Linked DNA regions of Callithrix jacchus. The protein of the gene in region 1 purifies or fractionates together with the protein of each later gene. This does not show direct contact. Links are inferred from orthologs where the notes say so. Each region holds a gene or a part of one and is shown in the gene's direction. Other genes may lie near its edges.

Region 1 (4,250 bases):
CCAGCACGAAAGCCAGCCTGGGTACCCGTGGCCCGTGGGAAAAGGTGCCAGGGCCCAGGGCGGCAGGAATGTCCCTCGGCCTCGGGCGAGGACAGCCCCCAACCCCCTCCCACCCATTGCGTCCCGGAGCCCGCAGGCCTCGCTGGACGCTGCCACCTCTGGGGACCACCAGGCCGACCGTCCAGCTTTGGGACCCAGGCTTTCCCACTTCGGCCTGCCAGGGCTTGTGGCTCTCCCACTGCGTGGCCAGGCGTGGAGAGCCGGCCCGACCGGACGGACGGAAGCGCCCCGCAGCCCCGGGGCGGAGGGCAGGGGTCTCGCCAGTCTGCCCGTCGGGACCCGCGGGGCCGAGATCCTGAGAAGCCACCCGGCCAGGGGCCGGCAGAGCGGCCGCGGCGGGGGCACCGGGCGCCGCCCCTCCCAGGCCCGAAGCCCCGGTCTGGTGGGGCGGGGCTGGCACGGGCGGGAGCCGCTGACACCCGGCCACCGAGCCACGGGCCACGGTGCAGCGGGGGCCGCGGGGCTGCGCCGCCAGGGTCACGTGGCGCGAAGTCCCCCCGCGTGGCCACCATCCCTGTGGTGTGTGGGACCCCAGAGGCGCCCGGGCTCCCCGCTGTGTGGTGTCCCACCCTGGGAGAACCCCGGGTGCGTGGCGTGGCCCGCCAGCCGTCCCAGCTGGTTTGCGGTCGAGCGGGGAGCCTGTGGGTTTCTGGGCCCCGGCGGCGGCGAGACGGGCGCCTTCCCAGCAGCGCAGGAAGCGGCCTCGGCCGGAAGGGGGCCCCGGGCGCCGCCACCACCGCCTCCGCCTCCGCCCGCGCTAGCGGCCGTCGGCGGGCAAGGCCGAGCGGGGCCGAGTCGAGTCGAGCACGGCCGAGCAGAGCCGAGTCCCGGGCGAGCGGAGCCGAGTCGTAGCAGGGCGGGTCCTAGCGCAGCCGAATCCCGGGCGAGCGGAGCCGAGCGCGGCCGAGTCCGGGCGGGGAGCGCGCGTTCCTGGAAGAGCCCGGCTGGGGAGCGGGTCACATTCTTGGCCGGCGCTCTGGCTGAGGCGGACGCACAGCAACAAACAGCGCGGGGGGCGGGGCCGGCGCGGGGCGGAGCGGGCGGCGCGGGGCGGGGCGGCGCGGCGGCGGCGTGAGCTCAGCGCCGGGCGCTCAGTCCGAGCCGAAGCGAGCCGCCGGGAGGATGTTCGCCGAGCGCCCCAAGCCCCGCGCCGCCGCCGCCGCGCTCTGAGGGCCGCGGGCGAGAGGCGCCTCCGCCGCCCCAGAAGCCGGGCGGGCGGGCCGCGGAGCCGGCGGGCGGGCGGGCCGGGGGCCGGCGGCGGGCGCGACGCGGCCGGCCAGCGCCGCCGGGACGAGCCGGGCGGGCGCCGCGCGGTGGGAGGAGCGGGGCGGCGGCGGCGCGCCGCGCGAGGACGGCCCGGCGGGCCCCGCGCCCGCGCCCCCGCTCCTCCCGGGCCCCTCGGCCTCGGCCGCCGCGGCGATTCGCGCCTCTCGGCGCCGCCACCTGCCCGCGCGCCCCCCGCGAGCCCCGGGCCCGCGAGCGTTGGCGTTGGCGTTGGCGGCGCGCGCCGGGGCATGCCCCGCGCCTAGAGCCCGGGGGGCGCGCGGGGGACGCGCGGGGGGCCCGGGCGGCGGCGGGCGCGGCGCGGGGCGCGTGGATGTGGCGCCGGGCCCGGGCGGCGGCGGACTCCAGCGGCGGGACCCCTTCGCCCCGCCCGCCTTCCCCTTCGCGCCCCCGGGCGAGGCCGCGGCCGTGATCGGTCGTGAGCCGGCGGCAGGGGGCGGCCGGGGTCGGGGCCGCGGACGCCGCCGGGGCGCGCGGGGCGGCGGCGGGGGCCGGGGGGGCCCGGGCGCGCGGGAGCGGGAGCGGCCCGGGGAGCCGGAGCGCACCATGGAAGCGGCGGCGGGCGGCCGCGGCGGCTTCCAGCCGCACCCGGGGCTGCAGAAGACGCTGGAACAGTTCCACCTGAGCTCCATGAGCTCGTTGGGCGGCCCGGCCGCCTTCTCGGCGCGCTGGGCGCAGGAGGCCTACAAGAAGGAGAGCGCCAAGGAGGCGGGCGCGGCCGCGGTGCCCGCGCCGGTGCCCGCAGCCGCGGAGCCGCCGCCCGTGCTGCACCTGCCCGCCATCCAGCCGCCGCCGCCCGTGCTGCCCGGGCCCTTCTTCATGCCGTCCGACCGCTCCACGGAGCGCTGCGAGACGGTGCTAGAGGGCGAGACCATCTCGTGCTTCGTGGTGGGAGGGGAGAAGCGCCTGTGCCTGCCACAAATCCTCAACTCGGTGCTGCGCGACTTCTCGCTGCAGCAGATCAACTCGGTGTGCGACGAGCTCCACATCTACTGCTCGCGCTGCACGGCCGACCAGCTGGAGATCCTCAAAGTCATGGGCATCCTGCCCTTCTCGGCGCCCTCGTGCGGGCTCATCACCAAGACGGACGCCGAGCGCCTGTGTAACGCGCTGCTCTACGGCGGCGCCTACCCGCCGCCCTGCAAGAAGGAGCTGGCCGCCAGCCTGGCGCTGGGCCTGGAGCTCAGCGAGCGCAGCGTCCGCGTGTACCACGAGTGCTTCGGCAAGTGCAAGGGGCTGCTGGTGCCTGAGCTTTACAGCAGCCCAAGCGCCGCCTGCATTCAGTGCCTGGACTGCCGCCTCATGTACCCGCCGCACAAGTTCGTGGTGCACTCGCACAAGGCCCTGGAGAACCGGACCTGCCACTGGGGCTTCGACTCGGCCAACTGGCGGGCCTACATCCTGCTGAGCCAGGACTACACCGGCAAGGAGGAGCAGGCGCGCCTCGGCCGCTGCCTGGACGACGTGAAGGAGAAGTTCGACTATGGCAGCAAGTACAAGCGGCGGGTGCCCCGGGTGAGTGGCCCCAGGCCTGGGCGCGGGGTGGGGCCGGTGCGTTGGGTGGGGGGGCACCTCCTGGGCCTTGCGCTCCGGGCTCCGAAGGCCGGGACCTGTGTTCTGCCTCACTCCTGTCTCAAGGCTTCGGTTCGTTTAGGGGAAATTCAGAGCGTTCCCTTGGGCAGGGCCAGTGGGTTTGGAAGGAAGCCCTCCTGCCGGTTCCTCAGGACGAGCCTGGGCGGGGCTGGTGGCGGTGGGGTGCGGGGCCAGGCTTGGTGTGTGGGAAAGGCCCACAGCCATTGCCCAGATAGGCCAGGAAGGCACAGGCCTCTTGTGCTGCCGAGAAAGCGGCCTGTCCCGAGGTCAGGGAAGTTCCATCCAGCCGTACTGCGGCTGGATGCCTCAGGCCCGGGTCTTCCTTGGGGTTGGGGTGAAGGTGGCTGCCCTTACCCCGAAGCTTCCCAGCTTTGAGCCCCAGGAGACAGAGCTCGGGCCAGGCGAGGCCTGGTTTTGTTACTGGCTCTGCTCCCTGTTTGGTGTCCTGAAGTTTTGGGACACAGACCCAAAATGAAGCCAGGTGTCCGGCGTTAGTGGCGGAGGGCCGAGACTCAGCAGCCCCAGCACTGTGCTGGTTCGTCTCCCTGGGCCTGCCAGGGAGCAAATCCCAGAGTCCCCCGTGCAGGGTGAGGGCCACTTGGCACCCAGCTGAGGGCCTGGTCAGCAGGCTCCTGGGCCCGAGTGCTGGAGTTCCTGGCGGCCTGCGATTTGTTTTGGACTCACCCGTTTCCTTCTCTCCCTCTGAAGCGCAGAGGGACACGCCAGGGAGGGAGACTGTCAGCCCGGCTTTGTTGTTTGCCAGTTGGAGGATCTGGAGGATCCGGCGTGGGCAGCTCCCAGGCCATAAGGCACCGACATTACCCAGTGGGGTCCTCAGGAACTTTCCGTTGCATACCTTCCCAAGTATTTGTAACTTTTTTTTAAATATGCAGGCTTATTAAATTGCACACACAGAATGCTGCATTGGCTCAGCTATTCTTGGGAGGCCTAATTAATTCAGCTATTGCATCAAACTTTTTTTTTGAAATCTGTGAATAGATGCTCCAGCCCGGTTTTCTCTGGGCGGCCCTCCAGCAGAGTGTCAGATCGTGGGGAGGAGGGGCTGTGGATGGAAGCGAGGGACTGTCGCCTCTGCTTGGAGGGGGCTGCGGAGAGTGTGCGCGCGCGTGTATGCCTGTTCAGGGGCGCTCTGGCCCTGCCAGGCCAGAGCCTTGGTGCAGCTGCTTGCAGACCTGTGGGCTGTGGAAGGATGCTCCCGGCGGGGCTGCTGACAGACCCAGCAGGCTGGGGCCTTTCGTGTCACACGGGGAGTTGGCTGGGGTGGGCATGATGGCGTACCCTGTGGGCTGGGG
Region 2 (4,295 bases), on another chromosome or scaffold:
GCGGTAGCCCTTCTTCTTGAGCACGTGGCAGATCATGAAGCCTACTAGGCCCATGAGGAAGAAGACCAGCACAAGCAGGAAGAGCATGTACAGTCCATGTTGGGGCGGTTCCAGGTCAGGCTGTGGTTCCGACATGAGGTCCTGGGGGGCGAGCGCGGGCCAGGGCGCCTCCTGGGTTTAGGGGGCTGCAGCTGGGAATGGGGGAGGGGTAGGAATGCCTTGCTCAGGGTCTGAAACAAGCTAGTCTCAGCGGTCCGGCTCCACCCCCTACCCAACCGGGGAGCTGTCCGGGCCAAGGGTGCTGGTTCGCCAGTACCGCCCGAGGCAAGAGGTGAGCGGCTACGCAAGCTCTCTACCACAACCCTGGTCCTGTTTCCCCGACGCCCCGAGCGTTTCCCTTTACAGCTTGTTCGCGCTTCTGTCCCTCCCAAGGACACTGCAGCACGAGATGGGACGGAATTCTTAGGCGGCGGGAGCAGAAATCGCGCCTGAGTCAGCGCCCTCACCTCCTCCGAGCCGGTCTGAGCCAGGCCTCTGCAACCCTCTCCTCTCAGTACTCCCGCACCCCTTCCCCTTTTCGGTTTCTTCCACCCAGACCACCTGGCCCGCCCAGTACCGGTGATTTGGTTCTGGTTCCGGCTTCCGCTCGGGTTCCGGCTCCAGGGGCGTCCTAGTGCGGCTCAGGGCCCCCGACGCCCTCCCGGCGCTCATCCCTTGATTCCTCCCCTCCCCCTTCGCCGCCTCACCGGCCCCGGGCTGTGGCTGCGGATACCGGCGCCGTGGCAGGCGGGGGGAGGGAAGGACAGAGAAGGATGCGGGCTGGCTGGGAGCGGCGGCAGGCTTCGAGCAACCCCGGCCCTGGATCAGGGAGATGGGCGCCTCCGCAGCCGCCCTGGCTTCCCAAACGCCTTCGCCGGTCGCAGGCCCAGGACCAGGGGGCGGAGCGCAGGTGTAATGGGCGGAGAGCGTGAGCCTTGCGCGCGCGTGACTGCGCCGGGCCCCCCCGGGGCAATGTGCGGCGCGGAGTCTGGGTCCGGGTGGGGGACAAGCTGTCCGGTGTGGGTGTTGTCCACTATCCGGCACGCCTGGCGCAGCTCCTGCCCTCAGATGCCCCGACCGAGCGGGGAGTCAGGAATCTTCCCCGAGGGCTGGGGGAAGCCGGCTTTCCGCACCTTTGAGGGAGGGAGTGGCGGGACCTTCGTAGCTTCCTAGAGAAGTGACCACGGCCTGCGCCCGGTTTGGGGCAAGCGGCTGGATGGGATGGCTCGGCTTTCCGAGGATCTGACCCCCGGCCGGAGAGAAAAGGCCCTTGCATCCTAGGAGCGATGCTACCAGTTCCCCGCCTGGACGCCCAAAGCCCCAGATCCCGGGAGAGCGGAGACGGGCGAGGGGCGGAGCTCCTCTGGGGGCCTGGCCCGGGTGTGGCTGGAGGCGGGCCCCGCACCGCCCAGTTCCGCAGAGGCAGGCTACGTGCTGGCGCAGCACGCACGGCCGGGGCGGGGCTGGCGGCGGGCGGCGGAGGCGCGGGGCCTGCTCCCGCCGGCACCATGGCCAAGACCGTGGCCTATTTCTACGACCCCGACGTGGGCAACTTCCACTACGGTGAAGAAACAGGGATATGCACGAGGGGTTGGGACGCGGAGATTTGGAGGTGGGGGTTGAAACTCCAGGGGTGAGAGCTGACGAACTCTCTTCTCCCCACCCCCCAGGAGCTGGACACCCCATGAAGCCCCATCGCCTGGCATTGACCCATAGCCTCGTCCTGCACTACGGTCTCTATAAGAAGATGATCGTGAGTCCCCCTGCCTCGGCCGTGGGTTGGGGGGTGGGGAGAACTGTGGCCGTAGGGATAGGTGGGCTGGTCTGAGTGCATTGAATGCGACCCGCCCCTAAAGTAGGGGGAAGCTGGATAGAAGACATCAGGAGTACCTTGAATGTGCACGGTGTTGGGGGTGGCGTCCTCTGCTTAATTGAAAGTACTTTCTCACCGCAGGTCCGCCACCCTCTGACTATAGACAGACTGGCCCTTGGCCTAGGGTTAGGGTGATGTGGGACTGGTTTGAAGACAGAAGGTGTGTTCCTCCTCTGCATTTTAGAGTGTGGATAGGGCCTAAGCCTCAGGAATTGGGATGGGGGAAAGGATATCACTTTATCGGGGTGTGAGATTTACCCTCAGTTCCCACTCCTCCTTTACCAACAGTGCTGCCATGTTTGTAAGTGTGTATGTGCGTGTGCAAGAGTGGAGATATCCTAGATATTGCGTTTTCAGCCTAGAATACCTCTACATGGTTCTGCTTAATTGCTATCCAGTTTTTCATCTCCCAGACATACACATGCTGTCCCCCAAGCTTGGAATTTATGGCTGTGATATGGGATAGTAACAGTTAAGCCAGGCATGGTGGCCCATGCCTGTAATCCCAGCACTTTGGGAGGCTGAAATGGGAGGATTGCTTGAGGCTAGGAGTTGGAGACCAGCTCGGGCCACAGTGGGACCCACATCTCTACAAAAATAAAAAATAAAAGTAGCCATGCGTGGTGGGTGTGCCTGTAGTCCCAACTACTTGGGAGGCTGAGGTGACAGGATGGCTTGGGCCCAAGAGTTTGAAGTTACAGTGAGCTATGATCATGCTGTAGCACTGCAGCCTGAGTGACAGGGAGGACCTTGTCTCAAAAGAAAAAATAAGACAGCCCAGGCTTTATGTGTTGCTAGGAAATTAGTGAACAATATGAATGAGTGTTAATTGCTTATGCCAAGGCACAGACGAATGGATTGGTCATAGAAAAGACTGAGGTGATGTATGTGCAGGAATCTATACCCCTTGAGATTGTTTGCCCGTACGTACCTGTGTGCATTTTCTGGGAGAAGAAAAGCTCTTTCTTTTTTTTTTGGAGACGGAGTTTCGCTCTTGTTACCCAGGCTGGAGTGCAATGGTGCAATCTCGGCTCACCGCAGCCTCTGCCTCCTGAGTTCAGGCAATTCTCCTGCCTTAGCCTCCTGAGTAGCTGGGATCACAGGCACACACCATTATGCCCAGCTAATTTTTTGTATTTTTAGTAGAGATGGGGTTTCACCATGTTGACCAGGATGGTCTCAATCTCTTGACCTCGTGATCCACCCGCCTTGGCCTCCCAAAATGCTGGGATTACAGGCTTGAGCCACCACGCCCAGCCTGAAAAGCTCTTTCTTGTCCAGTTTTCAAGGAGGTGTGACACATCCCCCTCACCTTCCAGAGATGATAAATCTTTGATTTTAATTAGAAAGTTGACATATATCCCATATAGTTGACTCCAGAAAGAAGAATCCAGAGGAAAGAGGACAGAATCAGAGCTTGGGGGAGGAGATGAGCATGGAGAGAAATGGGAATAGGAAAGCCAAGGAACAGGGCAGGTGGATCAGGGCTCAAAGTTGAGAAGGTACGATAGGTTGAGCTGGAGGTGGAAAGGAAAAGAAGTGGTCTTCAGGGGGCTCAATTGTAATAGCCCACCTGGTTAGTTGGAGTCTCTCTCCTGACTTAACGATTGTGGGATGAGAGTATTGTTATGTTTGGTTTCATAGAATCTCCAGGACTGGGTTCAGTATGGGTGGTCTGAGCCTGTGGAGTGGGGCTGACCCTGCCTGAGTTCATCTTGTGTCTCCATCCTGAGGTCTTCAAGCCATACCAGGCCTCCCAGCATGACATGTGCCGCTTCCACTCCGAGGACTACATTGACTTCCTGCAGAGAGTTAGCCCCACAAATATGCAAGGCTTCACCAAGAGTCTTAATGCCTTCAATGTAGGCGATGACTGGTAAGGAACGACTGGGACTTTTGATGTCCAACAGTTTAATTCCAGTCCCTTCAGTGAGGTATTTTGGCACCAGTGGGAACATCTGAAGGGGGGCCTGCTTGTCAAAGAATCATAATTAACTTATTTGTTTATTCAATAAATATTTATTTGTCATTTGCTCTGGGGTAGGCCCTGTGCTAAGTGTTGGGAATGCAGTGATGAACAAAACCAAAATTTTAATATTGTGTTTTTGCTAAGTATTATGAAGAGGAGGTATATGACAGATTATGAGAGTGTATACATGGTGAATTTTCTAGCTTGGTGGAGTGGCTGGCTTCCTAGAGGAAGTAAAGATTGAGCTGAGATCTGAAAAAAGAGTAGAAGTAGTCAGATCAAAGGTGGTTGGAGGGTGAGGGGCAGAGTATAGCAGCAGTAGGGACAACATGTGATAAGGGTCTGTGGTAGGATTGAGTATGACTCATTTGAGGAACAGAAAAAAGGCCAAGTGCAGAATACCAAGAGACGGTG
Region 3 (4,064 bases), on another chromosome or scaffold:
ATGTTGGGTGGCTTGTGTCCCCCAGAAACTCCTTTTGGTGGGAAGTTATGATAAATAAAGCAAATGATGCAAGGAAAGATCTGAGTCAAAGCTTTGACTTGCAGGCTGCTGAAGGTGGGGAGAGCTTTCAGACTGGGTGGCTGGGATAGAGAAAAGAAGCCTTCTCTTCCCCCAGCTATTCCTTCCACAAGAGGCACTTCTGTAGTCTCCAAACGCAGTATTACAACAGCCTCTGGGCCTCCCCTTGCTGCTTATAGGCACTTCTCAGTCCACCGTCAGAACCCATCTTTCTGCCAGGGTGCCAAACATCTTACACTATAGTTGTGGGCCTGTGACGGTGCTGCCTGCATATTCGGCTGTGCACATCCAAGAATTTCACCCAACTAAAAGTTGTAAAGTGGTTCCATTTCCACACCCCCAACCCTTTTTTATGGCTATAGCCACATATGAAGGTCATTTTTTTGCATTTACCCCTTTGTGTCCTTTGCTGACAATGACCTGCCCCTCCAATTCTGCTTGATGAAATCTTTAAGACCCAACTTGAATGCCACCTCCTCCATGAAACCAATTTTCCTTCAGCAGAAGGAATCTCTCTTCTCTGAGCTCCTATGGATGTCTATTTACATACACATTCCTGCCTTGCCTTAGTGCCTTACGTAGACTCTCCTCGGCTGAATCTGGAGCCCTTGGAGGGGTAGAGTAAGCACGTCACCCAGTCTGTAACTGCACCTAGCAGCAGATGCAGTATGAATGTCTGCCTCACCCACAGTAGGGACAAGTGCCTGCTGCCCGCGGAAGCAGGGCTTCCCGTTTGCGTTACTCGCTTTTAGGTCTACCTAACAGAGTGGACCGGACACGGTTAGGTCACACAGCCAGAGGAGTCTGCCCACCTCAGCCAGTGCCTAGGGTGCACCTACCTCCTATACTGTCTAGCTCCAAATAGGTTGTGTGTGTGAAGGAAGTTGGGGCCGGGTAGCCCGGCTGGCTCATCATCCGCATCCACCCTGAAGATCTCCGAGTCCCAGAAGGCCTCCTTCCAGTCCGAGGACCTCAAGAAACTCCAGTCGGCGGTGTGGAAGCTATAAGGGCCTCTACCACGGATACGTCTCTCACTAGCGTTTAGTTTAATAAATTTATTTATATTTTTTGGAAGGAGGGAGCATTCAATGAAGGGGAAGAGGCGGGGCGAAGGGCGGAGGCGGGCCCAGGGTGACTGACGTGAGCTCCGGGGAGCCAATGGCCCGTGGGGGGCGTTCCCCCCCATTCAGGACTCCTCGCCTGGCTCGGAAGGTATGTTAAACAGCTGCTTTTAATTTGGTCCCCCCAATCTCAGTCGTTTGGGGGGCTAATCCCCCGGCCGCTCGGTCTGGCCGGCCCGACGTGGTGTGAGCCCCACGGGCCCTGGGACCGAGCTGAGGGGAGGCTCGGAGTCCCGCGGCCGAGGTAGGCGAGGGACAGGCCAGGAAGGAGAGCTCTTGGCGCCGCCCGCTCGCCTGTGTGTGTGTTTCGAGCCGGGCCGGAGCCGTGGGGAGGGGGTCGGTCCGGCCTGGGTCGTCCCTGCGCCGGCAGTGCCGCTTAGTTTATCTCACCGAGCAGTCGGTTTTGGTAGGTTTTGGCGGCGTACTGGAGAAGGGGCGGGCAGGAGACCCCCGCTCCTGTTGTGCCTTTTTCAAAAAAAGAAAAACATTAGGAAGGAAAAGGGGGATTCCACACGCCGACTAGAACCGGGCCCGGGTTGCGGCTTGCAGGCTCGGCAGGGGGCGGCGGCTCGAGCATGGTCGGCAGGGCCCATTGAGCTTGCGGCGCCCGGAGTTGCTTGAGAGCTGGAGTTAGCGAGCGAGCCGGGGCCCGCGGCTTTCCCGACTACCCACGCTGAGCAAGGGCGGCAGCCGCCCCGAGGGTTTTGTTTCTGCCTGCAAACTTGTCGGAGGGGGCGGTGGGCGCGCTCTGGAGAGGCGCGGGCACAGTGGGCCCGCGGTTGTTATGGACTCGGGGGGCGGGGGCAACACCGGACTTGCGGGAGGGGTAGCCGGGGGCGGGAGAGGCCACCGGAAAGAGCCGCTGCGCCTCGCCGCTAACCCCGCGAGCTGCCGAGGCTCCGAACTCCCCGGCCGTAGCGGTCATCAGCATTCGGTGCCAGAACCCGGCAGGCCGCGAGCCGGCGAGGAGCTCGCACCGGTGGTGGGGAAAACCCCCAGGAACTCGGCGGCTTCGCCCCGCGGCCCCGGCTGATCTCCTTGCAAACATGGAGCTGCCTGCTTCCCCGCCCACCCCAAGGCGGCGGCGGCGGCGACTGCTGCTCTTTTCCCCTCCCCCGGCCGTGCCGCCGCCGGGCTCCCCCTTCCCGCGAGGTGCCACTGCGGGCCGCTCCGCGCGGATGGGGCGGGGGCGCGGGCGTGTGCGCGCCCACGAGGGGGTGGCCTGAAAGGGGCAGTGAAGGTCGGAAACTGGGAAAACAGTCTCCACGCTCGGAATCGGGAAAAGGAAATGCATCAGCGGGCGGGAGGGGCGCGGGGGGCGCGCCTGTCAGCCGGGATGGCGGCCGTGAGCGGGTAGGCGGAGCGCCGGCGCGAACCGTCCCGGCCGGGCGGGGCAACGCCGGGAGAGGCGGCGCAGGGGCTCCCGTCCACCGAGCGCCAGGCGGCCCCTGCCAACACTCCTCGACCCAGACTGTTTACTATCTACTCCACCGGCGGCTTGTGCAACCCGCCTGGAGGGGAGCTGAGGGGCGGGTCCGTTTCCTCTCTCCCACCTACCTCGGGCTCGCCCGGGGGCCCCGCCTTCTCTTGTCTTCCACTGGCTGGGTGAGACCCCCTTTTTTCCTCCTTCTCGGAAGTGGATTGGATGGCATTCTCCCGAGCTCCGCCTATCGGGAGGCCGGGCTGGAGTTTAAGTTGCTAGGATTTTTTTTCCGCGGAGGGAGGAGGGAGGGTTCCTGCCGCTGACAAGAGGCGCAGGGTCCCGCCCCCGCCTCTGATTGGTGGGACGAGTAGCCCGGCCTCCTCCGGCTTTGCGAGCTTGGAGTGGGAAGTCCACTCTTGTTCCCCGCCTCCTCCCTTCGCTCTTGAGCGCGCTCGGCACATGTGTGAGGCCCGCCTCGCTCCTTCGAACTGCCCTCCCGCCCGGAAGTCCTAGGCTCGGCGCCCTTGGCGAGGGGGGCGGGGATAGCCGAGAAGCCACACAAAGGTTCCACCGAGGCTCTAGACTTGGTAGCCTTCGGGGTGAAGCCAGGGGATTACAGTGAGGAGTGGATTTCGGTAGCGAAGCTCCGGAGGTTCTGCAGGGGTTGAGATCTGCACTTCGTGGCCGGGGCCAAGTACTGAAGTTCTGACCCTGTGGCTTGTCTATTTCCGCGCCCCTTGACTTCCCTGAGCTTAAACTGAGAACTCTGTAGACGCTGAAAGCGTTTGTTCTTCCCTAGGCAGGTAGCTGCCGTCCTTAGTTGGCTGTGTCTAAGATTCTTGACAACCTAGAGCGCTGGCCTGGGACCCTTTGGCGAGATCCAGCGCAGGTAGTACCCTGTGGTCACGGGAAGTCGTGAGCGGCCTAATGCTGGCTTGGGTTCTGAGTAGTTTTTGATACCATGGTGAGCCTGCCCCGTGATACTCAGTTTAGTGGTGGAAGGGGGCGCAAAGTTAGGAGTTTTGGGTCGGTTCTGCTGGAGTGCCACTTCCTCCTAGCATCCCAGCAGTTTGGCCCAGGGGTCGCTTCGTTGGTCTTATTTTTAGAGCTCCGTTCCGGGACAGGGCTTGGCTACTGGCGAGGCTGCTCCCACCTGTCGACTCCCCTTGAACTTCACAATTCGCTGTCGTGGTTTTGTGGCTCGAAGCCATCACTGGAGTCAGGCCCACCTGCTGCCAGAGCTCTTTCCTGGCCATTTCCACTGATTGCAGAGGGAGAACAGAGTTGGACCCAGGAGTGGGTTCGCCGTGCCTGTCCCTTGGGAGGAGGATTCGGCTTCCTCTGGAGTGCGGTAAAAACCTAATCCCGCCCCCTCTCCTGACGCTGGGAGAGTGTCCCCTCAAAGTGAAGTCAGCTCAGGCCCACGCTTTATTTGGTGAATA

What was found. Proteins that work in one complex are often made in the same cells at the same time.
Region 2: the proteins of SKI (region 1) and HDAC3 purify together in Homo sapiens (affinity purification with western blotting; 4 studies listed by BioGRID and IntAct, with this or other methods). This does not show direct contact. The link is inferred for Callithrix jacchus from reciprocal best matches to the Homo sapiens genes SKI and HDAC3.
Region 3: the proteins of SKI (region 1) and SIN3A purify together in Homo sapiens (affinity purification with western blotting; 3 studies listed by BioGRID and IntAct, with this or other methods). This does not show direct contact. The link is inferred for Callithrix jacchus from reciprocal best matches to the Homo sapiens genes SKI and SIN3A.

What each region holds. Positions count from the first base shown.
Region 1 is NC_133508.1:40,278,929-40,283,178, forward strand, and holds the start of SKI (ski oncogene), read left to right. Parts: upstream 1-1,442; 5' UTR 1,443-1,890; coding exon 1,891-2,859; intron 2,860-4,250. UniProt on the Homo sapiens protein: May play a role in terminal differentiation of skeletal muscle cells but not in the determination of cells to the myogenic lineage. Functions as a repressor of TGF-beta signaling.
Region 2 is NC_133503.1:40,068,916-40,073,210, reverse strand, and holds the start of HDAC3 (histone deacetylase 3), read left to right. Parts: upstream 1-1,493; 5' UTR 1,494-1,547; coding exon 1,548-1,602; intron 1,603-1,709; coding exon 1,710-1,792; intron 1,793-3,645; coding exon 3,646-3,788; intron 3,789-4,295. Other genes in the region: RELL2 (RELT-like protein 2), read right to left, coding at 1-135. UniProt on the Homo sapiens protein: Histone deacetylase that catalyzes the deacetylation of lysine residues on the N-terminal part of the core histones (H2A, H2B, H3 and H4), and some other non-histone substrates.
Region 3 is NC_133509.1:22,403,376-22,407,439, forward strand, and holds the start of SIN3A (paired amphipathic helix protein Sin3a), read left to right. Parts: upstream 1-1,262; 5' UTR 1,263-1,443; intron 1,444-4,064. UniProt on the Homo sapiens protein: Acts as a transcriptional repressor. Corepressor for REST. Interacts with MXI1 to repress MYC responsive genes and antagonize MYC oncogenic activities. Also interacts with MXD1-MAX heterodimers to repress transcription by tethering SIN3A to DNA.